Arabidopsis thaliana: one gene and its partners. The protein of the gene in region 2 interacts with the protein of the main gene of each other region in a biochemical or structural test. Each region holds a gene or a part of one and is shown on either strand. Other genes may lie near its edges.

Evidence for each region.
Region 1: the proteins of EIN3 (region 2) and FRU form a complex in vitro, tested with the Arabidopsis thaliana proteins (one study listed by BioGRID).
Region 3: the proteins of EIN3 (region 2) and JAZ1 form a complex in vitro, tested with the Arabidopsis thaliana proteins (one study listed by BioGRID).
Region 4: the proteins of EIN3 (region 2) and MYC2 form a complex in vitro, tested with the Arabidopsis thaliana proteins (one study listed by BioGRID).

Annotation. Positions count from the first base shown.
Region 1 is NC_003071.7:12,001,349-12,008,356, forward strand, and holds FRU (FER-like regulator of iron uptake), read left to right. Parts: upstream 1-3,309; 5' UTR 3,310-3,364; coding exon 3,365-3,841; intron 3,842-3,922; coding exon 3,923-4,123; intron 4,124-4,198; coding exon 4,199-4,375; intron 4,376-4,458; coding exon 4,459-4,560; 3' UTR 4,561-4,647; coding exon of another isoform or gene 4,648-4,655; 3' UTR 4,656-4,928; downstream 4,929-7,008. Other genes in the region: AT2G28150 (UPSTREAM OF FLC protein (DUF966)), read left to right, coding at 1-194, 451-720, 822-879; ATCHX7 (Cation/hydrogen exchanger family protein), read right to left, coding at 5,023-5,469, 5,664-6,329, 6,928-7,008. UniProt on the Arabidopsis thaliana protein: Transcription factor. Essential protein involved in iron uptake responses. Regulates FRO2 at the level of mRNA accumulation and IRT1 at the level of protein accumulation. Confers enhanced iron mobilization responses at low iron supply.
Region 2 is NC_003074.8:7,258,279-7,266,883, reverse strand, and holds EIN3 (Ethylene insensitive 3 family protein), read left to right. Parts: upstream 1-3,499; 5' UTR 3,500-3,781; intron 3,782-4,289; 5' UTR 4,290-4,295; coding exon 4,296-6,182; 3' UTR 6,183-6,455; downstream 6,456-8,605. Other genes in the region: TOP6B (topoisomerase 6 subunit B), read left to right, coding at 1-58, 199-301, 409-494, 587-783, 1,103-1,218, 1,364-1,449, 1,606-1,678, 1,852-1,943 and 4 more; AT3G20760 (Nse4, component of Smc5/6 DNA repair complex), read left to right, coding at 7,993-8,224, 8,298-8,378, 8,564-8,605. UniProt on the Arabidopsis thaliana protein: Transcription factor acting as a positive regulator in the ethylene response pathway, by promoting histone acetylation in an ENAP1-dependent manner, thus accelerating the expression of ethylene-responsive genes. Binds DNA.
Region 3 is NC_003070.9:6,616,527-6,624,120, forward strand, and holds JAZ1 (jasmonate-zim-domain protein 1), read left to right. Parts: upstream 1-5,250; 5' UTR 5,251-5,305; intron 5,306-5,393; 5' UTR 5,394-5,785; coding exon 5,786-5,948; exon of another isoform or gene 5,949-6,146; coding exon 6,147-6,745; 3' UTR 6,746-7,094; downstream 7,095-7,594. Other genes in the region: AT1G19170 (Pectin lyase-like superfamily protein), read left to right, coding at 251-721, 1,036-1,156, 1,236-1,484, 1,574-1,727, 1,824-2,349; AT1G19190 (alpha/beta-Hydrolases superfamily protein), read left to right, coding at 7,350-7,594.
Region 4 is NC_003070.9:11,794,323-11,803,236, reverse strand, and holds MYC2 (Basic helix-loop-helix (bHLH) DNA-binding family protein), read left to right. Parts: upstream 1-1,829; 5' UTR 1,830-2,323; coding exon 2,324-4,195; 3' UTR 4,196-4,893; downstream 4,894-8,914. Other genes in the region: AT1G32630 (FAM50A-like protein), read right to left, coding at 4,894-5,295; AT1G32610 (hydroxyproline-rich glycoprotein family protein), read left to right, coding at 6,470-7,345; AT1G32600 (F-box associated ubiquitination effector family protein), read right to left, coding at 7,554-8,435.

The DNA of each region.
Region 1 (7,008 bases), on a different chromosome or scaffold from region 2:
CCGTCTCCTTTTTTCTCCTCGTCGTTTATGATGGGAGATCTTGACCGTTTGTCGGAAACTCCGAGTCTAATGGGCCTGAGGATGGAGGAGAAAGAGTATTTTAGTGGGAGCTTAGTGGAGACTAAGCTACAGAAGAAGGATGCAGCGGATAGTAACGCTTCTCTTAAGCGTTCTTCATCCTACAATGGTGACAGGTACATTTCTGAAAAACACTCCTGCTAGTGATTGTTGGATGTTGTGTTATGTTTTGATGTTAAGACAGTTCTTGTGTTCTTGTGCCAAAATCACAGCTTAAAAAAAAAGTCTCTGCCTTTAGTTTCCCACTAAAATTACAACAAGCTATCTTTGGTTTGTTAGGGTCATAATATGTGATTGGAAAGGTTCTTGATTTGAGTAGTATACTTAGTCTCTGTGAATTCTTGAGGACACATCTCATGTGAGTTTTTTCAGGGCATCCAACCAAATGGGTGTAGCAGAGAATGGAGACTCAAAACCGGATAGTTCTAAAAATAATCCAAGCTCAAGAAAGGCGTCTTCTATTCTAGGGAAGCAACAACCACTTGTCTCCGAAAAGAGAAGAGACTCATCAGAAGATACTACCAAGAACATTCCATGTACCACTAAAACACATGATGCTTGCAGTAAAAGAATAACCGAGTCTTTAAGGAAGCCCGATTCATTCAGAGAAGACGAGGAGAGAGTTATCAAGATCGACGAAAGGTGAAACATAAACATCTTGAATCTTGTTCAATATATTGATATGAACATATCTTATCTTGATTCATATCAGGTTTATTAAATCTTGTATGTATCTTGAACAGGCTTGCTTCAGGAGCACGAGTTAGAATCGAATCGAAAGTGCCTTCAGAAGAGCCTTAACCAAGTTTAGGAGGCGTGTTTTTTGAAAAATTTGAAATCTAAAAAGACCCTTTTGCTGGTTTGTATTGTGGCGGCAACTTTCTCCATTTTGATTGTAAATCTAGAAAGGTGGAATGAGAAAAAGAGAAATGGCAAAAAAGTTTCATAAAAAGGATAGAAAGATTTCAGAGAGAGCACTAAATGTTGGTATTGGGCAGAGAAAAGGTGTAAGTAAATTGAGAAAAAAAAGTTTGGTAACAAAAGGTATTAATGTTTTGATGTGATGTGAGATGAGAAGAAGATGGATGGACCACTGTTACTGATTGGTGTGGTCATTGTTTACTGATTGGTGTGGTCATTGGTAGGTTTGGTTTTATTAGTGAATCCATGCCATTTCGGTTTTCAAAATTGTAACCGATAGTTACGGTTATCTGAAAATCTGACACAATACTTTATTGATGTTCATGAGTCATGACTTATCCGCTGTTGTGTTTCTAAAGATGTGCTGATAAGTCACATAAAAATTGAATTTGTTCCATGTCTGTATAGAGAAGAAAAGGAGTTTTCATATTTTCCCCATTTTTGTTGGGGTGAACAAATTAAAAGTTATCTGCTAGTTGACATGCATAAAGGTTAGAGGAAAAAGAAAAGGAAAAAAGAAAAAAGTTTGTCAAAATATTTTGCTTCATAAGTTTGTGACTTATTCAGAGTTATGTTTCTAAAGATGTGATAGGTACAGCAAAATTGTATTTGTTCCAAATGTCAATTAGTGAAGAAAAGAAAAAGAGTTGTCATATTTGTTGGAGTACTGAAAGATAATCATGTGGCAAAAAAAAAACGAAATAGGAAGAATTTCAGTAAAAATTATGCTAGCTTCACATGTATCAAATATATTTGAACCAAAGTATGCCATATTCATGAATTGTTTTTACAACAATTTTTATTTGTTTTAAACTCTAGAGGCTATATGTGAAAAAAAATTTTACAGCAAAAATAAGATTATATCAGAAACATTACAGACCGAAATTTACAGCCACGATCTAACCAAACATCTACTAAATTGACATAATAGCATTATTCAAATATTTATTTGGAAATTGGTTGATGTTTTTGAAAGTTGTGGAGTATCCCAAAAATCCAATGTTGCTCAAAAGTTCAGTTTCTCTAATAAATTCAACACCTAGATGGAATCTATAATTGGTTGACTTTTTTTTTTTTTTTTTTTTTACAGTTATATACCTGAAAAAATATTCCAACTTGAAATATTATAAAGAGTTGATTTTTGTCCTAACCGGCCAAGACTTTAATATTTTATACTGTCTTTCTTTGCTATCCTTTGTTTGTTTGTTGAGACAAGAACGAAAACCGTGCATTGAACAGGCTTCTTCATAATTTAATTGCGGTTTATCCTTAAATGATTTGAAAAATGGAAATGCATTTATCAAAAATAAAAGAAAATAATTGAAATGCTATTATATTCCAGAGTTGGTTTGTTATTTGAAAATTATGCTGGTTTAAGTTTATATTTGAAATTAATTTTGGCCGTTTTTCTACAAAACATATTTATCATATTGGAGTACTTTTTAAATACACTAACATAAAAATGTTGAGAAAAACTTTTGTTAAAATTCTAGCTTGTGACAACTAAACCAGTTGACATCTACAGTTGTAATAAGCCGATTGCAAATTAATTCCTAACATTTTAATAAACAAGAATATATGTGGATCTAAATTCAAAAATATAAACAGTACACTAACATTTGTACGTCTAATATCGTAGTAAACTTTTACTTATGAACACCTTTTTAATACGGTCTGATCGATTTATTTATTTATATAACCAAAACTCATATATATTCATAAACTAAATTATATAGTAACAGGATATATTATGAGCTTAATATACATGCTATATGCCTATATAAGGTCTTAATAACCAAAACTCATAATAATGTATTCATAAACTAAATTATATAGTAATATTTTTGGTATATTTTATAACTTTAAAAAACTCTAAATATTTGTGGTATTTTTGAAAATGGATAAAAATGATATTTTTGGAAAGTAGTATAATTTTAAAAAACTTCTCCCAATAAAGACATGACCAAAAATGTGTGTTATTTCTATATATATTTTTTTTTTTTTTTGATCAACATATACTCTTGTTTCTAATCTGCATTCCCTCCACCACAAAAAAAAATTCAAATGATAAAATATAAAGAAGAACAATGTGGAAATATAATTGTCATGCAACACGACAAATTAATCATTCGAGTAACATAATTTATACATATAATATACAGGTCATGCATGACATTACAAGACGTAACTGAATAAACTAATATCAACCAACTATCAAGAGTACATTTCTTTAAATTTGTTTTAATTGATTTCTTAACTTATTATGTTAATTAATACAGTTTATTTCATACTCACTCTATTATATAAACTCATTTTGTCTCTCTTTCGTTGTCAACAACTTTTCTTCATTGACAAAAACACACAAATGGAAGGAAGAGTCAACGCTCTGTCAAACATAAACGATCTCGAACTTCACAATTTCTTGGTCGATCCAAACTTCGATCAGTTCATAAACCTCATAAGAGGAGATCATCAAACCATTGACGAAAACCCAGTTCTTGATTTCGATCTTGGTCCATTACAAAACAGCCCCTGTTTCATAGACGAGAACCAGTTCATCCCAACACCTGTCGATGACCTCTTCGACGAATTGCCTGACTTAGACTCCAACGTTGCTGAATCATTCCGTAGCTTCGACGGTGATAGTGTTAGAGCCGGTGGTGAAGAAGATGAAGAAGATTACAACGACGGTGATGATTCTTCAGCCACTACTACGAATAATGATGGGACCCGTAAGACGAAGACTGATCGGTCTAGGACTTTGATCTCTGAGAGAAGAAGGAGAGGGCGTATGAAGGATAAGCTTTATGCATTGAGATCTCTTGTTCCCAATATTACTAAGGTAAGTCACAACATTTTCAAGATTTGGTAATGACTAATGAAACTGTAAATATTGATGAAGTATGTGTGTGTTGGCATTTAGATGGATAAAGCATCCATTGTTGGAGATGCAGTGTTGTATGTTCAAGAACTTCAGTCACAAGCGAAGAAACTCAAATCCGATATCGCGGGTCTTGAAGCTTCTTTAAACTCTACTGGAGGGTACCAAGAACATGCTCCTGATGCTCAAAAGACTCAACCTTTTCGCGGTATCAATCCTCCTGCTTCCAAAAAAATCATTCAGGTAATAACCTAAAAAAACCAATCAATCTTCTTGAAACATCAAAGTGTTTAAAGTTTGTATGTTTTGTTGTGTTAGATGGATGTTATACAAGTGGAGGAGAAAGGGTTTTATGTGAGATTGGTGTGTAACAAAGGAGAAGGTGTTGCTCCATCTCTTTACAAGTCTTTGGAGTCTCTTACAAGTTTCCAAGTGCAGAACTCTAACCTAAGCTCTCCTTCTCCGGACACATACCTCTTAACATATACCTTAGATGTAAATCAACTTGTGCCCTTTTACTTTGTTTTGTTTCCGAGTATACCGTTTACTTACCGAGTTTTCTTGTGTGGTGGAAACAGGGGACATGCTTCGAACAGAGCTTAAACTTGCCTAACCTGAAGCTGTGGATCACTGGATCACTTTTAAATCAAGGTTTTGAATTCATCAAGTCATTTACTTGATTCTATAACGCTTGCTCTAACGTGAGTCAAATCCGGTTCTGCACTATATTGATTGTGTACCTTTCTTACATGTTTCATAACTTCCAGGGCTCTAATTTCTATTCTAGTGATGATGTAACCGAGATTGTTGATTCTCTATTGAATAAACACCATGTTATATAGTAATTTAGCGACAAATTGTATGGTTAAATGAAGTAATATTTATGTTTTGTTTATAGTCTCAAGTCTTAAGTTTCTTTTGCTTTGATATATCACGTTTTGGTTCATTGGCTGTATTATTGCTTTGTTGTTGCAAGACCATTCACATCTTGATTCTATGTATTGTTCTCTGTTTGATTGGTAAAAGAATAAAGAATTTTAACCCCGAGAAAGCAGTACAGACGACCTATATGGATCGCCGACTCAACTCTAGGAACCTAATTTGTGCTTTGGATATTCATAACATGGTAAAACAAAAAGATTCTAATATTGTTGCTGTTGCAAGACCAAGACAGATGCCCTTGAAGGAAACTCCTTTGACGCTATAACATCTCCGAGGGCTCCAAGTTCCTCGAACTCTGTCCATTCATTTAATCCTTTTGTAACTGCGCTATTCATTCCGCTACTTCTTCCAACTATAAACAAATCATAATCATACGCTATTGATCTAAGTATCACTGAAGTCTCAGCCCCTTCTTTGACGCTTTTTTCTATACATATCCATGAATCATTTTCATTTGAATCCTCAGTCTTCATTATCTCTTTTATGTCATCGTAATCCAACTTCTGCACCGAGTCTTCGCTTTCCTCGGTAGTAAGTTGAGGTATGAGGTGTAAGATGGTTACGCTTGTCTGCTTGTTTCTCCTCATACGGTTGGTGAATGCTAAGGCTTCTTTATCGTCTTTCCCTCCCACAACTATTGCACACACCTGAAATACAAACCACGAGACCAGTTTAGAACTTGTTAAGATCACACATCGGAAGAAATGTGTAGGTACCAACACTAGTATAGAAAAAACATGGGCCAAATATACTAATCGTCGGTTTGTTTTGAGTTGGAAGCCAGACGACCCCAAAAATTAACCATGAGATCTCTTAATTACAAAAGAAAAAAAACAAGTACCTTGTAACATGAGCCGTGCATTTGAGATTCCCATAAAGGTTTCCGGTAGACGAAGATTCCAACAGAGCAAGACGCTCTTTTCAAGACTTTGTGGTTGAGATTCTGCATGGCCTTGTCGTCAGAGACAATGGTTGAGCGGTCAACAGACCAAGAACGGTGAAAAGGAAGTACAACGAGAGCTACATTCTTGTCAAGGGCAAGCCAACAGAGGTCCTCGTGCATGTGCTCTACCAAGCTAGCAGATGTAAAGATGTCAATGGAAATTGCCTCTTTGGTTAAATGTCTACGAAGGCTTAAGAATGCAGTTATGACATTGCGGGAGCAAGAGCGTGTTCCAACCTTCGGCTTTTGCATCTTGTGGGAAATGAAGGTAGGAATGGCCTGACCTATGAGCTCCACAAGGTGAAGAACATTGCATTCTAATTTTGATTCTTGTGTTGGGTTAAAAAGTTCCACAAAGTTGACCATGGATGTTATGTGGTCAGGCTTGTGAATACACACAAGGGTCTTCAGCTTAGAGTCATGTTTCAAGGTTAACATGTTCCTATCTCGGTAACTACTAAAGATATGTTGTGGTTCGTACATGAATTCTATCGCGATCGGTGTCAATAGCGAGCTGACAAGTACTGATAGAGCCGCGATCGTGAAGCTCTTGTTGTCGAACATCTGTTTTAAAAATAAGAATGGATTGTTGTTAATATGTAGTGAGATGGATCAATAAGTTTGTTATTGTTTTGAACCTCAATATTTTATTTTTATGTGTTTGCCATTACATGTTAAAAAAAAAAAGATCCAAAATTATTTTACTACGTTTGAAATTTAAGAGTTAACAATTTAACATGTTAAATTTAACAAATAAGTGTTAATGCTTAAGGTATTGGTTTTATACTAAGTGATTGGTCCAAAAACAGGAAATCATAATTTTGAAAAATGAATCATGAATCTATATGGTTTAATAGATTCATTTACCTATTGCATGTATATCTGCAAAATGAATCCGAATGCAAAACAAACAAAAAAAGGAAGGAGAGAAAAACGATCAAAACCGAAATTTCTTTGAAAATTAAAGAAATATGTGACTAAAACTCGAATGCGAACCTAAATCATACCAAATCATCTATAACAGATCATGCTGTACTTTGCATATTATGGTTCATTAACGGAAAATCTGAAACTAAGACCGAGCTAAAATCGTGTTGAACACCCCTAAATTTGTAGCATGTAAAAAAAAAATGGAAGGATTGAAACATAATTGAGTTCTTACTTTAAGTTCGACAATGTAGCCGAGGTAGCCGAGCTCAAAGATACTTCTATTTGACAAAACCATGGCTAAAACAATGGAGTC
Region 2 (8,605 bases):
CATCTATGAAGAGCCAAAACTATGTTACTTTCTGCAGACTGGATATTGATATTCACAGGTACCCATCTGAATACATGAGCAGCTTCTCGAAAGCGGATATCAATCTAATTTTTTATGTTTGGGCATTTGACATAATAGCTATGAATCCTTCGGATTTTCCACGCCGTATAATTGTCTTCAAATGGTTAAAATTTTCAGGAACATTCCTCATATTCATCTGCACGAAAAGAAGGGCAACAAAGAGAAATGGCATGGGGCTGAAATACAGGTGGTTATCGAAGGAAACTGGACAACATACAGAGTACGTGGTCTAGCTCGTCCTTCTGCTGTATATTATTTCTTAAGTGTTCATTAGACATATATGCACGCAAACTTGTTTAACACATTTTATTTTTTTGTTGTATCCAGTCAAAGATCTTGCACTATATGCGCCAAATGGCTGTCATTACTCCTTATGCGCAGTTTCTGTTTAGATTTATATCAGAGACACCAGAGTAAGATCACTATCTTTCTGTTTTTTTGCTGCTCTGTCACATAGCTCTTTATGTGCAGCATTATCGGGTTTTTAAATCTTCTTTTCATGTAGGAAAAATGTCACTATTAAGTTTACTCGAAGAACGGATGTGATGCCCCCTATTCCTATCGAGACAAAGCACCATCCATCGTCAGTTGACTTGCTGCTTATCAAGCGCCTTATTACAGACACTTCCAAAAAGACCCTTCTGCAGTTTCTTCAAAATGAATTTGTGAATATTAACAAAACCCTTGCAGCACGATTAATTGGTAATATGACATCAATCTCATTTGTTACATAAGTTTGAAGTTGTTTAATATTCCCCCTCACATCACATTTGGCAGTACTTTTACTTGGCCAATGGAAATGATCTGATATCCAATTAAGAAATTCTGTATCACATGTCCTGATGGATTAGACGGATTATTATATTCACTAAAAATGTTTGCTGATTCTGAATGGCAATTTTCTGCTTCATTTTGCTGGTTATTATTCTGAGAAAATCATCCATGCCTTTTATATTTACTAAGCCTGTGCTATCTCTTTAGTCAAATTCAGTCATAAGTATTCTTGTTTTCTTTCTTTCAGGGGAAATGGGACCTGATTTCGGGCCTAGCATGGCTGTCAAATCTGTGACATCTCAGCAAATGGTACGCATACATCAGTTATTCCGCCAAGCTAAATTCGACGACCCTAGTGGTGATGTAAGCAGCTACTTTCTCTCTAAGGTTCACTGGGAACTGCTTTATTATCTCTATATCTCTCTCGAGGGTCTTATAAAATTTCAAGTTAGAGCATCTGTATTGTTTCGAAAATTAGCTCTATTCATACTGCGGTTTTCTTCTGTAGTGTCTTAGCCCAGCAGGAGAATACAATCTTCGTCTAGGGATTATTAAGGAGCTACATCCAGATATGGTGGCAACGTATTCCGGCAGGTTGTCACTGCAACCCTCTTTTCTACGAATTCATCTGATTTAGATATGGAGTTTATTTTTCTTATAGTAATCTCATATGTCAAGCTTTACCTACTTTGTCGTTAATCTGAGCTTTGTTTCATCAAGTGTTGACTTCTTCCTGGAAACTATGTTTAGTGCTCAGGTCTTCGAAGGTCATCCTTTCATTGTTGAAGCTGGTGTTAGTTTGGGTGGAAGAGACGTGAAACAGGCAAGTCATATCCTCCTTTTGTTTATTCATGTGTCATCAAGTTCTCATAGATTTAAGGTTGCTCTAAGTATGAGCATGAATCCACCATAACCATTGCTCTTTATCTTTTGTCGATCTCACTCTTCTACTATCTAATGGGTTATTTTGGGAATTTGCTGGAACTGAAATGGCAGGGGATCAACATATTCCGTTTTGCAAACCGTATTCCTCTCCTTTTTGAACAAGGAGCTGATGTTGTCACCAGGACGGCCTTAAAAAGAATCAAGTGAGACTCTTTCTTTAGCTTGCTGTATTCCTCTCTGTATATCGTTATAGTTGGTATCTTTCTCCAACTTTTTTTTATTAATGAGTATTTTCAAAACATTGCAGTTGGAATAGTTATAAGATCAACCAGACGCAAGATAAAATAGGAGTATTTGTGAGCATAGTGAGTACAAAAATTCCATTCAAAGGGACAGGGAAAGAGTACATAGGAGATGACATCAGTGAGATAGCTACTGCAGTCAAGGTAACATTAAGAAAAGATTTTTCTGACGTTATCCCACATCTTATTAAATCTAACTTTCCGCCTTTATTTCCATCAGTCTGCAATTCAACAATGCTGCATCCAACTGAAATCCAAAATAGTCAAGAGACTGCAAGCCCGTGAACAACAAGAGCGAAAACGCAGTTTGAGCAGGTAAAAAAGATAATCAGTGTCCTTCCCATTTTATGCTCCAACCCTGAAAAAAAAGATAACCAAAACTGGAAATGCTTGCAGATACATCCCCGATGCAACGGGGGCAGTGTACGAGGTTCTAAAACAAATGACAGAAGAACATAAAACAAAGAGAAAACGTTACGGAGAGGAAGACATAGTTATGCTTGATAAAGTATCTAAACAGATAATCACAAAAGAAACATTGAAAGAAAAGCTAGCTGAGCATGTAGAACAGGTCTTTTTTTTTTTTGCATCAATCACTTCTCAGCATAAGTTTCTACTGCATCATCACTTTTAAGTCATTCTTGCTGAATATATGTGGTGGTTTCAGGTGGACTACGAGATGGCATTAGAGTATGCAACACAAAGTGGAGTAAGTGAAGAACCCAGAGAAAATATATATCTCCAACACTTAGATCCCAACAAATCCAACTTCATAGATCTTCATAGTCCAACTTTTGTCTTCAGGCTCATGTTGTAAAACATATTTGCATCTCTCTATTAGTCAATTCTTTTCTTTCAGTGTTTTTTGGGATATTTTAAGACAAACACTTGAAAAGTGGAAAAAAGAAGACATAAAATTTAACACTATGTTTGGTTAGTTTCAACAAATGTGTCGAAGAACGTGATAATAATTAATAAACAAAACAATCAAGAAGCATGAAAACTTTTATTAAAATAGTTTTCTCACCTCTTGAGAACAGATTTGTCATAATCGATAATAGTTGTCGATGATGACGAAACTTTTTCTACTTGTAATAAAATATAATTGTAAAAAAAGTGTGCGTTTTTTTTTCTCTCTACCGATTTTAATGAGAGGTATGGATAATGGATCTTTTCTTTTCTAAAACCCATTATTCCAAAAATGAAAATAAAAAACGTAGCACAACAATAAATAAAACTCCGCGTAAGAAACAATTAATTACATACCGCGTAAAATAAAATAAAATAAAAAAACAAACGAAGAGCAGTGAGTATTGCCAAAAGGCGCTTTGTTAATTACATATTAATTGTGTAATAATAATAATAAATGATGTCTTAAATTTTATGTGTAAGAAATGAAATTAAAATGATATATATGTATATTATATATCTAAACATATATATATATATATAAATAGAGTATATATACTATGATCTATCTTCCTGATCTACAGAGAGACTCCACAAAGAAACGCAAATAAACAAAAGTCGCTTTCTAGCCACGTGATCTTTCGTCGACTTTTCTTCTTCTTCTTCTTCTTCCTCTTCCTCATCTCGTATCTCTAACTTTTGTCGAAGTTCTTTTGATGAAACTAGGGTTTATTATCTTCTCCTTCTTTTTCCCATCACCATAGAAAAGGCAGAGACCTTTTTCTTCATCATTTTTATTCTCCTTCTTCTTCTGCTGTTCATTTCTCCAGGTACTATACGCTTCTTCTTCTATTGATTTTTTAGGGTTATTATTGATACTGAAGATGATGATAGGTTTATTCATAGGGTTTTACTAGATCGATGGTTTTACTTTAGTTTACTAGTGTTTACACGATCTAATTTCATGAGTTTATGCTACTTTTAGTTTTTTTTTTGGTTGAATTTTTGTTTATTGTTTATAAATCGTTGATCTATTTGAAAATGTTTTCTCTTTCTTATTCATATATGATCCTTTCTATATTTGGTTCCTATGTTGAAGATCTCATCCTTTTTTTGGAAATTGAATCTGTTGATAATTTTTATTATCCGATTGATTATTTAGTTTAGGAGTGATTAAAATACGATCTGATTATGTGTTTATTACTTAAAACTTTGATTGAATTCGAAAAGCCCCTTTTTTATAATTTAGGGTTTGATGATTTTTTTTAGTAAGTTGTTTGATTCAGAAGAAATATAATTGTACTGATTAGTTTTGTTTGTGTATTTGATTTGTTACAGGTTACAATGATGTTTAATGAGATGGGAATGTGTGGAAACATGGATTTCTTCTCTTCTGGATCACTTGGTGAAGTTGATTTCTGTCCTGTTCCACAAGCTGAGCCTGATTCCATTGTTGAAGATGACTATACTGATGATGAGATTGATGTTGATGAATTGGAGAGGAGGATGTGGAGAGACAAAATGCGGCTTAAACGTCTCAAGGAGCAGGATAAGGGTAAAGAAGGTGTTGATGCTGCTAAACAGAGGCAGTCTCAAGAGCAAGCTAGGAGGAAGAAAATGTCTAGAGCTCAAGATGGGATCTTGAAGTATATGTTGAAGATGATGGAAGTTTGTAAAGCTCAAGGCTTTGTTTATGGGATTATTCCGGAGAATGGGAAGCCTGTGACTGGTGCTTCTGATAATTTAAGGGAGTGGTGGAAAGATAAGGTTAGGTTTGATCGTAATGGTCCTGCGGCTATTACCAAGTATCAAGCGGAGAATAATATCCCGGGGATTCATGAAGGTAATAACCCGATTGGACCGACTCCTCATACCTTGCAAGAGCTTCAAGACACGACTCTTGGATCGCTTTTGTCTGCGTTGATGCAACACTGTGATCCTCCTCAGAGACGTTTTCCTTTGGAGAAAGGAGTTCCTCCTCCGTGGTGGCCTAATGGGAAAGAGGATTGGTGGCCTCAACTTGGTTTGCCTAAAGATCAAGGTCCTGCACCTTACAAGAAGCCTCATGATTTGAAGAAGGCGTGGAAAGTCGGCGTTTTGACTGCGGTTATCAAGCATATGTTTCCTGATATTGCTAAGATCCGTAAGCTCGTGAGGCAATCTAAATGTTTGCAGGATAAGATGACTGCTAAAGAGAGTGCTACCTGGCTTGCTATTATTAACCAAGAAGAGTCCTTGGCTAGAGAGCTTTATCCCGAGTCATGTCCACCTCTTTCTCTGTCTGGTGGAAGTTGCTCGCTTCTGATGAATGATTGCAGTCAATACGATGTTGAAGGTTTCGAGAAGGAGTCTCACTATGAAGTGGAAGAGCTCAAGCCAGAAAAAGTTATGAATTCTTCAAACTTTGGGATGGTTGCTAAAATGCATGACTTTCCTGTCAAAGAAGAAGTCCCAGCAGGAAACTCGGAATTCATGAGAAAGAGAAAGCCAAACAGAGATCTGAACACTATTATGGACAGAACCGTTTTCACCTGCGAGAATCTTGGGTGTGCGCACAGCGAAATCAGCCGGGGATTTCTGGATAGGAATTCGAGAGACAACCATCAACTGGCATGTCCACATCGAGACAGTCGCTTACCGTATGGAGCAGCACCATCCAGGTTTCATGTCAATGAAGTTAAGCCTGTAGTTGGATTTCCTCAGCCAAGGCCAGTGAACTCAGTAGCCCAACCAATTGACTTAACGGGTATAGTTCCTGAAGATGGACAGAAGATGATCTCAGAGCTCATGTCCATGTACGACAGAAATGTCCAGAGCAACCAAACCTCTATGGTCATGGAAAATCAAAGCGTGTCACTGCTTCAACCCACAGTCCATAACCATCAAGAACATCTCCAGTTCCCAGGAAACATGGTGGAAGGAAGTTTCTTTGAAGACTTGAACATCCCAAACAGAGCAAACAACAACAACAGCAGCAACAATCAAACGTTTTTTCAAGGGAACAACAACAACAACAATGTGTTTAAGTTCGACACTGCAGATCACAACAACTTTGAAGCTGCACATAACAACAACAATAACAGTAGCGGCAACAGGTTCCAGCTTGTGTTTGATTCCACACCGTTCGACATGGCGTCATTCGATTACAGAGATGATATGTCGATGCCAGGAGTAGTAGGAACGATGGATGGAATGCAGCAGAAGCAGCAAGATGTATCCATATGGTTCTAAAGTCTTGGTAGTAGATTTCATCTTCTCTTATTTTTATCTTTTGTGTTCTTACATTCACTCAACCATGTAATATTTTTTCCTGGGTCTCTCTGTCTCTATCGCTTGTTATGATGTGTCTGTAAGAGTCTCTAAAAACTCTCTGTTACTGTGTGTCTTTGTCTCGGCTTGGTGAATCTCTCTGTCATCATCAGCTTTTAGTTACACACCCGACTTGGGGATGAACGAACACTAAATGTAAGTTTTCATAATATAAATATATTTGCAAGCTCTCTTCTTCTGTGTGTTTTTGTTGAGTTTGACTTTTACAATTGAAAAGTTTGGTGTAATTCACGCTAACTACCTCAAAGTTAGGGAATGGTGGGATAATTATTTATTACAATTGTATTTGATGGATAACGTGCTTATCGCTAGTGGCTCGTGGGTAGCATTTAAGCATGGGTCAATGCTTGTGTCTACGAGCTCGAGTGATCGAGCACACACAATCCAATCCGAACACAAAACAAGAAGAAAAACAAAATAAGATCTTAGATGTAAGGTATTCTTAAATACCTTTTTTTTTGAACAATATATATTTCATTTTTTGTTTGTAATTATAAAATGGTCCTAGATTAGATTTTAAGTTTTGATTGATCATTAAACTAAATTTGTTTTTATATCTGTTTCTATCTTCTTTACTCACGCAATGACGCAAATCCTTATTTGAAACGGCTTGGAGAGGTTACTATTATTACAATAGGAACATGATAATAATAATCATATTTGATTGTTAACGTTCTCGTCGCTTGTGGCTCGTTGGTAACATTTAAGCATGGGTCAGTGCTTGTGTTCACGAGGTCGAGTGCTCGAGCACACATTTCCAAACCAAACACCAAAAAAAAGAAAGAAGAAAAAAAAAGGACCTTACATGTGAGGTATTCTTAAATACCTTTTTCCTGATTGTCTTTTTAATTGAACAATATTCATATGTTTAATATTTATCTATTTCAATTTTTTTTGTCCATATTATGGTTTATATATATTAATTCAGCCATTGAGATTTTGATAGCACAAATACTTGTCAAGCTTCAAACCATTAACAAGTCTCCAATCCTTCTCCTTAAAGTCATACCACATAAACCCAAGAGGAGCTAGAGTTATATACATAAATCACATAATCTATCACACACACATCGAACATCTTTATTGCAATAGTGCTCACATGCATGTACCATCTCTTGGATCATAAACTATCACTTCACTTGTCCATAACTCCTAGAATATAAGATCTTTCTCTCTATTGAGACAGAGATAAATATAGTGGGATTGTGGCGCCACTTCCAAAGTTTGTGTCTTGTGTCAAACACTTCCGGTTTGATCTCTTCGCACCCTTTAAACACGTAAATCATTTCATGCATCAATTAATCTCACAACTATGAAATAGCGAGCCACTCGCAAACTTGGACCTTGACGCAACTTTTCACACAGGGTATCAAGGATCCACATGTTCCTTGAAACATAATTGTAATTACCCAAGGGAAGTAAAATCTCATGAATCATGACCAACCATTAGAGCAGCAGAACATAGCTCAGCCTGAGTTAACCAAGTATTTATTAGTTCAGAGGATAGTCAACCGAAACCTAATCTTTAGGCAAAAAAGTCAACAAAAAATATACTCCAATAAATATATAGCAGAGACTTCGACGTTGGCGGGAAATTTATCGACGTCTCTTCGTCTTCTCGCCGCCGTTAGGGTTTCTTTCTTATTTTTATAATCTCTTCGTTTCACCTTTTTCCTTTCCGTCTCTCAGATGATTTTTTTCTAAAATCATCATGAGAAACTCGGTGAAATGGGAAACGGAATTAACCGGAGATCGCAGCAGGAGAAGAGAAGCCGATGAGTCCTCGGAGACACCAAAGATCGTAAAGAAGGAGAAGCGTAGTAAGACCGTAATTGCTTCATTACGGCCTCAACAACCGCCGATTCAGGAAGAAGAAGAACAAGGAATTGCTGATCGGAGAGCTATAAGATCTCAGTATCTTGCTCTTACCCACAAGATCAAAGGTTACATTCTATTTCTTCTACTTTAGGGTTTTTTTTAGGGTTTTTTTTCTGACCTAACTTTTTTTTGGTACAGATGCTAAAGATGACTTGACAAAAATTGATTCTAACAAGTTCAACAGTATCATTAATGAGGTTGAGAATTTGCACCAGAAAGGTAAATGTAAACTTGTCCCAATTCGTTTATATATATATTCCTAAGTCTTAAACTAGTAGATGTTTCTTATTTTGGATGAACCTAAAAACTGTTCTTAGTTCTTATGTTGTGTATTTTAGTTGTAGCAAGGATAATTTTATTCACTGATGATATCTTTTTTTGGTGCTTTTACATTTTTATTGCAGTTCGGAAGCCTAGAGAGCAGATTGCTGATGCGGAGGCGCTTT
Region 3 (7,594 bases), on a different chromosome or scaffold from region 2:
CTAAAGACGAAAACGTCGAAAAAGATGATTGGCTAAATGGTTGAACCAAACTAAACCGGTTGTTTAACTTACCGGTTTGGTTCGATTACTCAATCGAATCGGATCGTGCACACACCAAACTCTCTTCACCAGCTTCTGACACAGACTTTGCAACTCTCATGACGGATCTTTGCTTCTAATTCACTATTTCTCGGCTAGATCTGTGGCAAAACCAGAACCTCAATGTTTCTAGTTCCTCGTTAATCGAATCATGGTGGAGAATTTGTTTCCTTCTCGATTTCAATTTCATCTTCAGAGACTTGACCCGAAGCGTCGTCTTACTTCTCTCCTTGCTTCTCACAAAACACTCTTCACATTTCTCTGGATCACTGCCTTTGGTTCCGTCTTTCTATGGCAGCGAACGGCTTACATCGAAGGCGGCTCTGGAACTGGTCCTGTCGGAGGAAAGTTCACAATTTTCGGTAAGATCAAACCGATTCAGCCAATTCCCCGATTGAGACCTGTGGTGTTTGATTTGAAGGATTTTGGAGGTGTTGGAGATGGGTTTACGCTTAACACTGAAGCATTCGAGAGAGCTGTGATTTCAATCTCTAAGCTTGGGGGAAGTAGCGGCGGAGGTCAGCTGAATGTGCCGCCTGGACGGTGGCTTACGGCGCCGTTTAATCTCACTAGCCATATGACTCTGTTTCTCGCAGAGGATTCCGAGATTCTTGGTGTTGAGGTTTGTAAAATGTTTTGATTTCCTCTTGTTTTGCTTTCATTTCGAAACAATGAAACGAATGCAAAAGATTGATTGGTAATTGTTTACTGAAAGTCAGACTCTTTAGCTCTGTTTAGGTCAGAATTGCAGAAATTTAAGCACCACTAAGCTTGGAACATTAGATTTGTAGGTTACAGGTCACTCACTCTAGCCAAGTTAGAGTACAAATGACTGTGTTTGCTTGTTGTGTGAAGGAACATAATTTAGGAGATTTTGAGACTTTGCGTGATGGATGTGTGCGTCTTGTTTACTTAACGTGTCACTTTAATTGTCAGGATGAGAAGTATTGGCCTTTAATGCCACCATTGCCTTCATATGGTTACGGTAGAGAGCGTCCGGGACCTCGTTATGGGAGCTTAATCCATGGTCAAAACCTCAAAGATATTGTGATAACTGGTTAGTGGTTTTCCTCTTTCGAGTTCATGTTTGTGAAATTGTGGTAACCGTGTTAGTAACTAAGGGGTATAAGGAACAGGTCATAATGGAACAATAAACGGGCAAGGACAATCGTGGTGGAAGAAGCATCAAAGAAGACTTCTCAACTATACGAGAGGGCCTTTAGTTCAAATTATGTGGTCTAGTGACATAGTTATCGCTAACATTACAATGCGTGACTCACCGTTCTGGACTCTGCATCCATATGACTGCAAAAATGTAACAATAAGGAATGTCACCATCTTGGCTCCTGTAACCGGAGCACCAAACACTGATGGAATTGATCCAGGTATGTTCATTTACCGCTTATATCTGTTTTCCGGTTATTCTGTACTCATTTAAAACGTTTTGAACCATCTTGTTTATTTCCGTAAACAGATTCGTGCGAGGATATGGTAATTGAGGACTGTTACATTAGCACCGGGGATGATGCGATCGCGATAAAGAGTGGATGGGATCAGTTTGGGATTGCATATGGACGACCTTCAACAAACATTCTTATTCGTAATCTCGTTGTTCGCTCTGTTATCAGGTAAAGTATTTTCTCATTTCTCATCTTACACCGCAAAACTTTGAAAACGTTTTCTTTTAAAGCAAAAGAATGAAAGTGTTCTATATGTTTTGACAGTGCTGGTGTATCAATCGGAAGCGAAATGTCTGGTGGAATATCTAATGTGACGATCGAGAACCTTCTGATCTGGAACTCACGCCGTGGAATCAGAATTAAAACGGCTCCAGGACGAGGCGGTTACATCAGAAACATAACCTACAAAAACCTAACACTAGACAATGTTCGGGTTGGGATAGTGATCAAAACGGATTACAACGAGCATGCAGACGATAATTATGATCGGAAAGCATACCCGATACTTTCGGGATTCAGTTTCGCGGGAATCCACGGACAAGGAGTGCGAGTGCCGGTCCGGATCCATGGAAGCGAACAGATTCCGGTAAGGAATGTGACGTTTCGGGACATGTCCGTTGGGTTAACGTACAAGAAGAAACATATATTCCAATGTTCGTTCGTGAAAGGACGAGTGTTCGGTTCGATATTTCCTCGACCTTGCGAGAATTTTGATGTTTACGACGAGGAAGGTCGTCTGGTTAAGCCTGCAGCTGAGTCCAATGTGGCGGACATTGACTACGACATTTGAATGTTTTTTCAGTTCATTGTCATTTGTGTACATAAAAGTAAATTTTGGGACACAAAAATGAAAATTATTTTTCTTTGGACCATTTCTCTTCGTCGTTGGGGTTTTCTCATTCTGATAAATAGTTGTAATTTTAATTAAAGTAATAAATATAAATATTTATCACAAATAGGTCAACTAAAGATAATTCGTTGATGAACAAGCAATATATTAGAACAAAGGAGTTAAGTTGCTTTATTGATCGAATTAAAGAATAAAATTTGGATGAATACAGAACTCAAACTCATAAATGTTGTTGAGGTTCATAGTTTTGCAGTAGAATGCTTAGAAAAATCAAAATCTCCATGTTGAGGTTATTAATATTGAAAGCACGTGTTGTTGTATTCGACTCAATTACTAAACTCGCATGTTAACGCATGACACATGATAATATCGGCATATTCAGTGAACCAGGTTGGTTCATGATCCCTTCCAAAGCGGACTCACACCTTAGACTCGGAGCTCACACGCCAAATCGCTCGGCTAGGTTTTGATAGCCAACTCCGGCCAAAAAACCAATCGCGAGAATGTGGTTTTTGATTGACCCAACTCACATTTTGACCTAGCACGAAAACCAAACACCAACATGAAATAAGATAAACTATTCAAAATATCTAGTTTTATATAAAAATCTTAATTTAATGTCACGAGAAGCATGTTCGCACTACTAAAGTTAATTAGCACAGTTTCGAACATTTATATATGTATATTCTGCAGAACACCGACGACTCCAATAATGGTCACGACTCACGACCCATGTGGAGTAATAGTTTTCCTTCTTTTTTAACATTTATAAATTTTAATATTTATTTTCGAAAGGCTAACAAACGCATGCGTACCTTTACATGAAACAAAAAGAAATTGTAGAATAATATTGTTTGAACATTTCTAGATATTCATGTGCATATTGTTCAAAACTTGTGTATGATTGTATCATTGATTGTTACATAAGTATTTGTTAAACAAATAAAAACTATACAACGTGGCTACGTATCAATCTATGCTTAGCAAAGTCAACCATGTAAATTTTGTAAGTATTACCTTACTCTAAGAAAATAAAACCCTAAACGAACAGATAGGCTTGCACCTGTATAATATATTAGACATTACAAGTCTCTACAATGTTGGTTTATCATTAACAAGGACTAAACAATATACTATAATCATACAATAAATTAAGAGTCGTAAATTAATGGTAAACTCAACTAATGCATGAATAGTTGTAAAAGTATATATATTTGGACACGTTACTCAACTTGCATCGCGGATCTGTATTCCTTCCCAACCACTACGTACACGCATTTCCCACGAGTTTGACGATCTTTCTCGTTTAATCTAATCATATCTACTTTTATAGGCTCCATAGCCCACATTTCATATCTTATAGTACGTTCCAACTTCTAACCAATAAACTCAAAACTAGTTGAGTTTTTTAATTAGTGAAATATATCTTGAATTTTATATATCTAATCTTGCACCAATAAAGTTTCTGTCAATTATGTAAAAGAAAGACTCGTTGTATCAGTATGGGACGACTTTTTCTTCTGAATTGTGTCGATCGAGTCCATATTATAATACTTTGTCACGTACTTTGTTTACTGATTAATTTAATATAATTGTGTCGCATTATCCAAGTCTAATTAAACATTAATGTGTATATTATACACCAAGTTACAATTACAGATCTATCTCTTAGTCGTTTTATTATGTATAGCCTACAATGAAACATGACATCAACGTATAGGTGAAGCTGAAGCCTATACATAAAAGTAAGGTTTTGGAGTTTGTTTCATGTTTTAAGGTTTTAGATATTTTGTGATCGATTTGCATGTATAGGGTTCCAAATATCTGAGCTTTGGCTTGGTCTACTTTGAGAAAGCAGCTGTAGAGATCAACTTTAGCCGTTTAGGTGATAAAATCACATTAGAACTCTATAGGTCGCGTAGCAGCGTATAAGAGCCCTGGATACTGAAATACAAGAATCTCTCCACGCGTAGAAAAACGAACCAACCATGATAAAACACGTGTCATATCGAATAGGTACAGACAACGTGCACTTGCCAACCTTCTTTCCTTGTAGTTTCCTTCTTCTTTGCTTCTTTTTTTCGTTAAATATTGATATTGTTCAAAAAACGCATAACAACAAAAACGTGGTCGACGGAACATGTGGGTGGTGGAGTTGTCTTCTTTAGGGGACCACTCACTAACGCCGTTTACTTTCCCGCTTGGACGATAACACCCTTGATATATGGATTAGTCTCTCTTTTGCTTTTGGATATCTTAATATATTTTAATATGTCCATTTTTATATTGACGACCATTTAATTAGGTCTCAGTTTGTATTATTGATTTTTAGGTGCCAAGCATTACTTTCGTTACGTGTAATCTTTTGATTATTCAATCAAATTATCATATGGTTCATGGCATTTTATCAATTGTGACGGTCGACATGTGGGTTGACTTTGATGTATGACTTTTAGCTTGTGCCTCATTTTTATTCCAACTCGACAACTAGCAGACTTTATATTTTAATTTATTTCTTTCTAGATATTAGACAATTCTTAGCTTGTCTCTCTGCATGAATCACGCGTTAATATACTTATAATAGTAAGTTTTAAAATGTTTCGAGTATAATATCATATTAGATTTCAATTATAATTGTAAGATTATTTAGTCTCAATGAAGAGCATTTAAAAATGTGAAAGAGTTTAGGCTTTGACTGTTGACTGGTTCTAACGCGTTTTGCTTCTTATTTATACAAAAAGATTTTATTTTATTTTAATTAGAAATATTAAGTACTTTTTAGACGTGTTTAGGTTGATTAATTTCTTGTTAACATATCCGATAAAAAAAAACAGCACCAAAATCACGACGAGAATTATGCCTACGTTACGTTGATAATAAAGATTAGAGATAAAATGTAACCTCTCTTCTCTTTACATCATTACATGCATCTTGTGTTTTATTTGACTTTATTCTTACCAACAAACAACCAATGGATAAATTAGGCTCGTGAAGGAGGGCAAACTCGTAATTTCAAAGAAACGGAAAGCGTCAGAACGTGGAGAACAGTGAACCGAGACACATTCCCGATTTTTCTAAAGAAACAAAATAAAACACGTGTTTTTTATACCATAAGTAAAGTAGTAGTATTTATTAAACTATTAATATATAGCTTTGTTATATTGGAGGTAGGAAGAAGAACTCTGCAACCAAACCAACCAACCCCAAAGCCAAACAAAGTTTTATAGAGACCTTCCATTTCTCCCTCTCGTGACAAACGCAATTTGCAGAGAAGCAACAGCAACAACAAGAAGAAGAAGAAAAAGATTTGAGATTACTTTGTATCGATTTAGCTATTCGAGAAACTCTTGCCGTTTGAAAGTTTTAATTGTTAAAGATGTCGAGTTCTATGGAATGTTCTGAGTTCGTCGGTAGCCGGAGATTTACTGGGAAGAAGCCTAGCTTCTCACAGACGTGTAGTCGATTGAGTCAGTATCTAAAAGAGAACGGTAGCTTTGGAGATCTGAGCTTAGGAATGGCATGCAAGCCTGATGTCAATGGTAAGAAACCTTCTCTTTCTCCTAGATCCACTTCTTTTTTCGTTTTCTCTGTTTTTTATTTCTTGAATCTTGATCTTGAAAACTTTTCAAGAAAATTTTGAATCGATTTCAAAGAAATTAGGGAGAGTTAGTTTGCTAAATTTTGACATAGAAAATGATTGGAGAGAGTTCTAACTTTTGGATCATATATATTTGCAGGAACTTTAGGCAACTCACGTCAGCCGACAACAACCATGAGTTTATTCCCTTGTGAAGCTTCTAACATGGATTCCATGGTTCAAGATGTTAAACCGACGAATCTGTTTCCTAGGCAACCAAGCTTTTCTTCCTCATCTTCCTCTCTTCCAAAGGAAGATGTTTTGAAAATGACACAGACTACCAGATCTGTGAAACCAGAGTCTCAAACTGCACCATTGACTATATTCTACGCCGGGCAAGTGATTGTATTCAATGACTTTTCTGCTGAGAAAGCCAAAGAAGTGATCAACTTGGCGAGCAAAGGCACCGCTAATAGCTTAGCCAAGAATCAAACCGATATCAGAAGCAACATCGCTACTATCGCAAACCAAGTTCCTCATCCAAGAAAAACCACAACACAAGAGCCAATCCAATCCTCCCCAACACCATTGACAGAACTTCCTATTGCTAGAAGAGCTTCACTTCACCGGTTCTTGGAGAAGAGAAAGGACAGAGTTACGTCAAAGGCACCATACCAATTATGCGATCCAGCCAAAGCGTCTTCAAACCCTCAAACCACAGGCAACATGTCGTGGCTCGGTTTAGCAGCTGAAATATGAATGCTAACCACCCTCAAGCCGTACCAAGAAATTCTTTTGACGACGTTGCTTCAAGACAAGATATAAAAGCTCCTATCTTCATGCTTTTTGATTTAAGATACAAACTACTCAATGATTAGGAAACTTCATATATTTGTATGTATTGATTAGTGATCAATTATTGTTAGTATTCGTTATAGTCTGTTTTTCTACTAGTTATTGTCGCCTGTCTAAATCCCCTTGCTATGGGTTATCTCAAAATTAGTTTCGTATGTAACTAATTTTGTAAGAACAATAATTTTTGTTGACGAACCATACTATCAAATACTCTAAATTATATCTTGATAAATCTACCTATCAGGTAAGTAGGTGTGTTTTGTTTTCATTTGTTTACTTGTTACCTACTAATCTCATATTTTATGATTCAAATTCAAACCCGTGAATTATGAGTTAGTAGGTAGGTTTAACAACATGTCAACAACTAAAGAACAACGTGACATCTAAACCAAACCAAAACTATAGAGAGTTCAGAGTAGTCGTAGTCTCGTAGAGATCATTCATATAAATAAATCGCATAAACACCAAAATCAACTCTTAATTCTTTCCTAATCATCATTAATCTCTAATGGATTCCGAAATCGCATTCGACTATTCTCCGAGGTTTCGTATATTCAAGAACGGTGGCATCGAACGCCTCGTACCCGAAACATTCGTCCCACCGTCACTAAATCCCGAAAACGGCGTCGTATCTAAAGATGCCGTCTATTCACCGGAGAAAAACCTCTCTCTCCGCATTTACCTCCCTCAAAATTCCGTCTATGAAACCGGCGAGAAGAAAATCCCACTACTCGTCTACTTTCATGGCGGAGG
Region 4 (8,914 bases), on a different chromosome or scaffold from region 2:
AGAAAAATTTCAAGTCTATATGATCGTGTATTTGTGTCTGCATGTTTCAAAATCATTGAAAAGACCCTTCCTAAAAAGTAAGCGAATCCAAAATTGTATGTAAATTTATATACATATGTATATATATGAACATATGTTATTATAATTATGAATAAATTATTGCTACTTAGGAACTCAATCAACAAAAGATACATAGATTGAGGCGCTTCTACAAGGTCATCCTAGTCACTTATTAACCTAACATATGTAACACATTGTATAAGCTATTCGAGCATGCCAAATCAATCAAGATCATTATATCATGTTCGACGATCTATCGAAAGTGTACACCAATTGATGATTCTCTATTTCTCTAAATCTAAGAATAACTCGAATTGGTCACATACAAATTTGGATCAGGTAACAGATATATTTTTATTTCATGCAGTTAGGAAATAACATATGGGAAATTTATATCTTACGTTCCACATTGTTCCCGAATCCCGACTAATGTCCCTCTCTTTCAACAAGGTGATAGTAAGATCTTCATTTAATCAACCCGACTCTCTACTTAAAAAATTTCAACCATTTTCTCTAAGAAGTCAGAACACTCCATCATCCCCATTCTAAGCTCAACATAACAACATAACAAGAAAACTGTCATCTTTGTTATCTCATTTCTCGAAGTAAGGGGGGAAATCTCTATATTTATCCCACTAATTATTCATTACTTAGTGGGATATTGTTGTTTTCTAGTGGCGTCACCCCCAAAGTCGACATGAAATATGATATCACGAATCACCTAGCCAAAACTTAGTGTAACATCTTCTCATAATTTTCTTATAGTAAACATGTTCAAAAGTCGACTCACAACCACCAGACAATGGTTTGGTTGTTTTCTGTTTGTTGAATCGTTCATTGACGAGTTCACCCAATACAGATGTCTCAGAAAATTATATTCAAAAGTTATTTTGGTTGTTATTTACAAAAAATGGTATACTAGATCCCAAAATTATTTTACTATTTATTGTTGGTAAAATACTCTTTAGTTTAATATGGTTTTAATAAGAAAAATCAACCGGAGTATCATTAATCTGAACGTATAAAGACATATCATTGAGTTTATCACAAGACAACGTAAATCTACAAGAACACAATAACATAAGTTTAGTGTTTTGTTAGTAAGAATTTGTCTTCGCAAGATAGAATTTTAGAAGTATATATATATATATATATATATACTATTTTATCTTAATTCTTTTTGTTTTATTTTTGGTTTTTAGGTAAGGGTTAGGAGTAATGGGACCATATTGGTGGCATGCTAAATTATTGTGATAAATTTATGCATGGAGGAAAAGATGCCAAATGATTTATGTTATTCACTCATACTCACCTAATGACCTAATCCTTGAATTATTGTTCGAACTTTAAAAATAAAATTTTAATATTGTAAATTAAACAAACAATATAACGTTGTTAGCATGTGTTTATCGTGAAATGTGAATGTAACTAAAAATATTATAAAGGAGTTCTTCCTTTCTTAAAGCATATGCTAATAATAGCGTTTGGTCAAATTAATAAATTATTAGTTTATTTAGTCGTCAACAAATTAATTAGTTAAGCAGACAAGAATCGTTTTTGGAGATAGAGATTCTCACTTGCATTTCACTCTCTTGCAATTTAACATATTAAGACAAACACAAATTTTTGCTTTAGTGAATTATTAGCAACGACTCACGTTATATAGATATGCAAATCTCAAAATTAATTAAGCTAAGACACAGTATTTGATAATTGAGATTACAAATCTTAAATTTTGATTTTTAATATTTTAAAATAACATTATAAAATAAGTAATTAATCTGTTATAAAAAATATATTCTAAAAGTTGACAAAACGACAAATATAAATCGAAAAAATAGGTGAAAAGTTATAGTAAAGTGTTTTTCCACTGAGCTCACAGTTCACTCTTTGGTACAAAAGAAACAATCAGTTAAAATCTAAGTCAATCATTAAAGAGCGTGTGATACACGTGCGACCAAACAGCCGTACGATCTCACTCACTTCCGGTCTTAATTCTTACCGCGTCGATCCAACAGTCGATGGGGTTAAATCGGGATGTGAGTTCATCGAAGCTTCTCTCTCTCTTACAACCATCCACGTTTCCCAATGAAATCTCGCCACGTAATATCCCTAACAACAAATTTACACATTCACCCTCAAGATCAGTTACACATATAATAATCGCAGACGCTCTCCATTTTTCTCCACTACGAAGACTTTCTCCTATCTCTCTCTCTCTCATTAAAAACGTGTTTTTTTTTACCGGTCACCGGTTTATGGAATGACTGATTACCGGCTACAACCAACGATGAATCTTTGGACCACCGACGACAACGCTTCTATGATGGAAGCTTTCATGAGCTCTTCCGATATCTCAACTTTATGGCCTCCGGCGTCGACGACAACCACGACGGCGACGACTGAAACAACTCCGACGCCGGCGATGGAGATTCCGGCACAGGCGGGATTTAATCAAGAGACTCTTCAGCAACGTTTACAAGCTTTGATTGAAGGAACACACGAAGGTTGGACCTACGCTATATTCTGGCAACCGTCGTATGATTTCTCCGGCGCCTCCGTGCTCGGATGGGGAGATGGTTATTACAAAGGTGAAGAAGATAAAGCAAACCCGAGACGGAGATCGAGTTCGCCGCCGTTTTCTACTCCGGCGGATCAGGAGTACAGGAAAAAAGTGTTGAGAGAGCTTAACTCGTTGATCTCCGGTGGTGTTGCTCCGTCGGATGACGCTGTTGATGAGGAGGTGACGGATACGGAATGGTTTTTCTTGGTTTCGATGACGCAGAGCTTCGCTTGCGGTGCGGGATTAGCTGGTAAAGCGTTTGCAACGGGTAACGCGGTTTGGGTTTCCGGGTCAGATCAATTATCCGGGTCGGGTTGTGAACGGGCTAAGCAAGGAGGAGTGTTTGGGATGCATACTATTGCGTGTATTCCTTCGGCGAACGGAGTTGTGGAAGTCGGGTCAACGGAGCCGATCCGACAGAGTTCGGACCTTATTAACAAGGTTCGAATTCTTTTCAATTTCGACGGCGGAGCTGGAGATTTATCGGGTCTTAATTGGAATCTTGACCCGGATCAAGGTGAGAACGACCCGTCTATGTGGATTAATGACCCGATTGGAACACCTGGATCTAACGAACCGGGTAACGGAGCTCCAAGTTCTAGCTCCCAGCTTTTTTCAAAGTCTATTCAGTTTGAGAACGGTAGCTCAAGCACAATAACCGAAAACCCGAATCTGGATCCGACTCCGAGTCCGGTTCATTCTCAGACCCAGAATCCGAAATTCAATAACACTTTCTCCCGAGAACTTAATTTTTCGACGTCAAGTTCTACTTTAGTGAAACCAAGATCCGGCGAGATATTAAACTTCGGCGATGAAGGTAAACGAAGCTCCGGAAACCCGGATCCAAGTTCTTATTCGGGTCAAACACAATTCGAAAACAAAAGAAAGAGGTCGATGGTTTTGAACGAAGATAAAGTTCTATCATTCGGAGATAAAACCGCCGGAGAATCAGATCACTCCGATCTAGAAGCTTCCGTCGTGAAAGAAGTAGCAGTAGAGAAACGTCCAAAGAAACGAGGAAGAAAGCCAGCAAACGGTAGAGAAGAGCCACTAAACCACGTCGAAGCAGAGAGACAAAGACGCGAGAAACTAAACCAAAGATTCTACGCGTTACGAGCGGTTGTACCAAACGTTTCAAAAATGGATAAAGCTTCGTTACTCGGTGACGCAATCGCTTACATCAACGAGCTTAAATCCAAAGTAGTCAAAACAGAGTCAGAGAAACTCCAAATCAAGAACCAGCTCGAGGAAGTGAAACTCGAGCTCGCCGGAAGAAAAGCGAGTGCTAGTGGAGGAGATATGTCGTCTTCGTGTTCTTCGATTAAACCGGTGGGGATGGAGATTGAAGTGAAGATAATTGGTTGGGACGCAATGATTAGAGTTGAATCTAGTAAGAGGAATCATCCGGCGGCGAGGTTGATGTCGGCGTTGATGGATTTGGAGTTGGAAGTGAATCACGCGAGTATGTCGGTGGTTAACGATTTGATGATTCAACAAGCGACGGTGAAGATGGGTTTTAGGATCTATACGCAAGAACAGCTCAGAGCAAGTTTGATTTCAAAAATCGGTTAAAAGGGTGTGTTTTGGGAAGTTTAGAAAGTTATGGGGTCAAATCATAATTAATTCGTTTTAGTGGCTTCAGTAATTTTGTAGATTTTAGTTTTGTAAGAAAAAAATCTTAAAATAGAGCGACAAGTTTCTTCTTTTGCTCTATGTTTGAGTCTGTATCGTTTTATTGTTGTATCTCCTCAATGAGTAAACTTGTATATATTGATATGAGTAATATGAGTTAGTTACTGAAAAAGTTAATATTTCTACACAATTTCATATGATAAAAAAGAAAAAGAAATCGAGTATAAATGGTCTAAAATAAGAGACTAATGGTCATGATCACTGATTTTGTACATATGGTCAAAAATGTCTCTCCTAACACATCAAACTTAGGAAGAGAGACAAATCTTAAGTAAGTTAAGTCGAGAGGGAGACCATATGCACAGTTTTCTTAAGTCAGTGTGATAATGTTTCCTCTTGTCTAATCAATAAGACACAACACACATAAACCTTAGTATAATACTACATGGATCTTCGAATACACAGACAGAGTCACAGACAAGAAAAAGCAAATCACTTGCTTTTGTCTTGATCATTTCCAATATCTACAAAAATAGAAATCTTGAAGAGATTATTGAATCTGAAATCTGCTTTGTTTGTGCATTCTCTTCCTCGATCACCTCGCAAGATCCTCTAGCAACCTGACCAATCCTCAAGAATCAAGTTTTCTTCTTTCTAGCTTCAGCTTTCCAATCTCGACGATGCGGCCTTATCTTCCGTTTAACCGACTCACAAGAACTATCTTGAGCCTTGTTCATAATCAAATGAGCTCTTCTAGCTTCTTTTTTCCAATTTCTATCGCAATAAACCCGCCGCACAAAGTTCTCAACATAACCACTAGGTCCATTAAACTCTAGTCCCTCGTCTTCTTCTTCTTCTTCTTCTTGTTTTCCCATTGTCTCAAACGAAAGATTATCATCGTTACCCGCTTCTTCTTCCCGCATCCGTTTCCTGGCTCGATACCTACGTTGTCTTTCTCTGTTCTTCATTCGACGGATCATGACTTCATCTTTGTCTATCAACCCTTCTTTCTCATCAATGCTCAAACCACCATTGCTCATCTTTCCTTCAATTCCAATTACTCAAAACACTGATAAAACAAACCAAATTCTATTATAAGGTAATGCATTTAAAGGAAAGAATCTAAAGCTCTATAAAACCCTAGAAGCTTCTTAATTCAAAAGCTGAAGACACAAAACACACACAAATGTAATTTTGCAACTAGAGGAGGACCAAATTAGAGATTCGTTAATAGCAATCAACCAGAAATGTAAGACTTCCAAAGAATCAAAATTAGCTAATCGATACAACTAAAAATGTTATTTTGCTTTGCTTTCAAGTTGAGAAAACAGAGAAGTTCGATACTCAAAGAACCTGAATGATTAATTCGATGATTAGGTTAAGAGGCTAAAACCCATATATTACCAATCTCAGTGATTGATTTACGAGAAGAGAAATCCAAAAAAAACAAAATCAATAAAGGTCATACCTTTGAAGCTTCAGTGAACAAAGAAACTAAATTTGCGATTGCCCGACTCGGTTCTCTTCTTGCTCGAGTGGTTTTGGAGATTTATGAACGAGAAAGAGAGAGATTGTTCTTTGTTCTGACTATAGATTGATGAAAGGAGGTACCTTTCTCCCAGACAGAACATATGACCGAGACCTTGTAGGAACATTTTAGGTTTCATTAGTTATATCTGAATTAAGCTAACAAAATGGGGTGGTGGCGCAGTTGGCTAGCGCGTAGGTCTCATAGCTACTGAGTGATCCTGAGGTCGAGAGTTCGAGCCTCTCTCACCCCATTTCTCATTTTTCTTTGTTTTTGACCATTTCACTAAAACTCCATCCATTGATGAAAATTAGGGCTTTGTCTTCAATTTTTCTTTCGCTCTGCTGAGAGACCTGACCTAAATCACGGGTTTAGGATCCTGTGGATTCGATTTTCTTCAGGTGAAAGGCTTTTCTTCTCATTATCATTGTTTCTCCGACCAATTTAGTGGATAAAGACGTAATGTGATTGTTGCGTTCGATTTCAGATGCGACTGATTCGGTTTTAGATGCATAAGTGGATAATGGGTATTCTAGATTCAGTAATTGAGGTTTCATAGCTGTTAAAGATTAAGTTTTTGGCTGATACAGGACAATATCTGATCCTGTAACTGTTACTTACTCTGTTCCTCTTTGAAGCTTAAGGTTTTAGATCAGAATTTGTGAGTTTAGTCTCTCTTGTTTGAGATGGATAGGACTTGTTGGTATTATGATCAGTTAGGTGTGAATAAGATTGGGAAGAACATAAAGAAGAGTCCTTTACCACAACCACAAGGTTATAGCATGAGCAACAATGATTTTACAAGTATTGTTCAACAGCTTACGGATTCTCCGTCGCGTGAGAGTTTACCTCAGCCTCTTCCTCGGAATCTGTTGAAGCCTCAGCAGAAGATTAGACCAGTGGGTCAAATACAGATAAACCGGCCCTGTGTTCCTCCTCCTGTAATGGCTCAACCTACTCATGAGTTTGTTGCTAGACCTCCAATGCATCCTTTGCCACATGGTTCACAACCAATTATCAGTCATGGAGACCAGTTTGGGTCTAATACAGCTGAGTCTTCTGTCTCGGTGTATATGCGTTATCGTCAAAGCTCACTTGGAGATTCTGGACCTAATGAAAACCAAATGCAGCCATCTCATGACAATCAACAGCAGCCACAGGTGGAAGGTCAAGCTCAATCGCATAATCATCATTCGCCACGGTTCAATGATTCTGCACGAAACACACCCATTTTGCCAACTCCTAAGTTCGACGGTCCGCCACAACAGATGCATAATAATAGTCTTCCTTCTCCTCGATTCAACGGTCGAGGGATATTACCTACTCCAACGTCCCAATATCGTCCACAATCTCCAACTGCTTACCGGAATTTGCTCTCCCCTAGGTCACCTTCTCCGCTGCTGTCTACAGGAGTTCAATATCCTCCACCACTAACACCAAGAAACTATACATTCTCATCAATGGATCAACCTGGAATTCTCGGTCCGGGCACAATTCCTCTGCCTCATGCATCTCCGTTTGGGGTTATACCAATATCTAGTCAAAGATGGAGAGGTTACTAAGATGCTCCATCTTCTTCACTTGACTCTTAGGTTAGTGTCTCTCTACTATCAAAGGTGCAATCTTTCGGAGCTTATAGGTTACAGCAGTACAGAGCTGTTAAAACACTACTTTATTGTGCCTTTGAGAATACGAAAGATCTTAAAGTTGAGCAATTCGCTATAAAATAAGGAGTTAGTGTTTAGTAGTTTCATATATTTTCATAAGGAGTTACATAAGTTTAGTCATACATCCCAACACTTTCAAATGACTAGAAAATAAAACTTCAATGAACTCGTTTTGTTCCTTATTGTACACAAAAACATTGTCCTCTTCTTCTTTACTACGACATCGCACCACTACAAAGACTTCATCGTTTTTTGCTATGCATACAAACCTAATATCAACGGGTTCGTCATCGTTTCCCGCTACATTCATCCACGGGTCGCTATCCCATCTCGCAATCTTCTTGCCGCTTCTAATTTCTCGTCGACATACACATAAATTGTCATCTACACTTGGGTAGTGATTGATAACACATAGTTCTCCCCTTGAAACATCTAACCATGAATTGAACTCCAATCCTGATAGCATCATCGGAACGTTTAGTTTTGAGTACTCTTCATTAACGAAATCAAAGCATAAGATGAATTTTTCTTTGTTGAACCGGTTTGCTATCCAATACATACAATTGTCGACAACCGTACCGGTCCTCTCTTTGAAGAAGCAATCACTAGAGGGAATTAGTTTGCTTTCTCTCCAAGAACTTTCTTTGAACGTAAAGATATAGGTTTTCTTGTCGATAATCGTCACAATTTTGTAATCATCTAAAACCCGGTCATAACCGAATCCCAAAAGATTTTGGGTTTGACCCCGTTTAATCATCGGTACTCTCTTGAATTTTGTTGAAGTAGGTTTCCAAATAGCTAACTCATTGTTGTCTTTGCGGGTGAGACATATCACTCCACGGCAAGAAAGAATACAGACTGGTTCAGTTTGGGCCGGTAATGTAAAGGGCACGTTTAGCTTCAAAGACGTGGTTTCATTAAGGTCTAGAAGGTATAAACCATCTTTGTGCAATGAAATGAGCTGAGATGATTGTTTATTCGACATTAGAAAATTGATCAAAACAGATATATTTTGGTTATTGTCCGGGAAAAAGATATGTCTTATGACTATATATGGACAACGAAGTTTTATTGAGAGCGTGATTACATAGTTATTGCATCATAATTTTCTGTATAACATCAATGTCGACATATAATACGTATCCACACTTTTCATTGTACCTACGATACGTATGTCAATGCACCGTTAACGTCAGTGGTATCTACTTTGTCAAAACGTTATACAAATTCATATCACCAATTACCAAAGATACTTTCGATATCAGTATTATATTACTCATGTCGTTATAATTTCCTTAAAAGGAAAGTTAAAGTTTGTTCGATGGAAACATATTCTTGTCTTAAACAATGATATCATACGCAAAAGACATATTAAATGGGAAAAATCTTACAAAATATGAATTTAAGGTGTTAAATGAATCTACATAATACATGATATCTCTTAATCTATTTTATTTCTTTTGT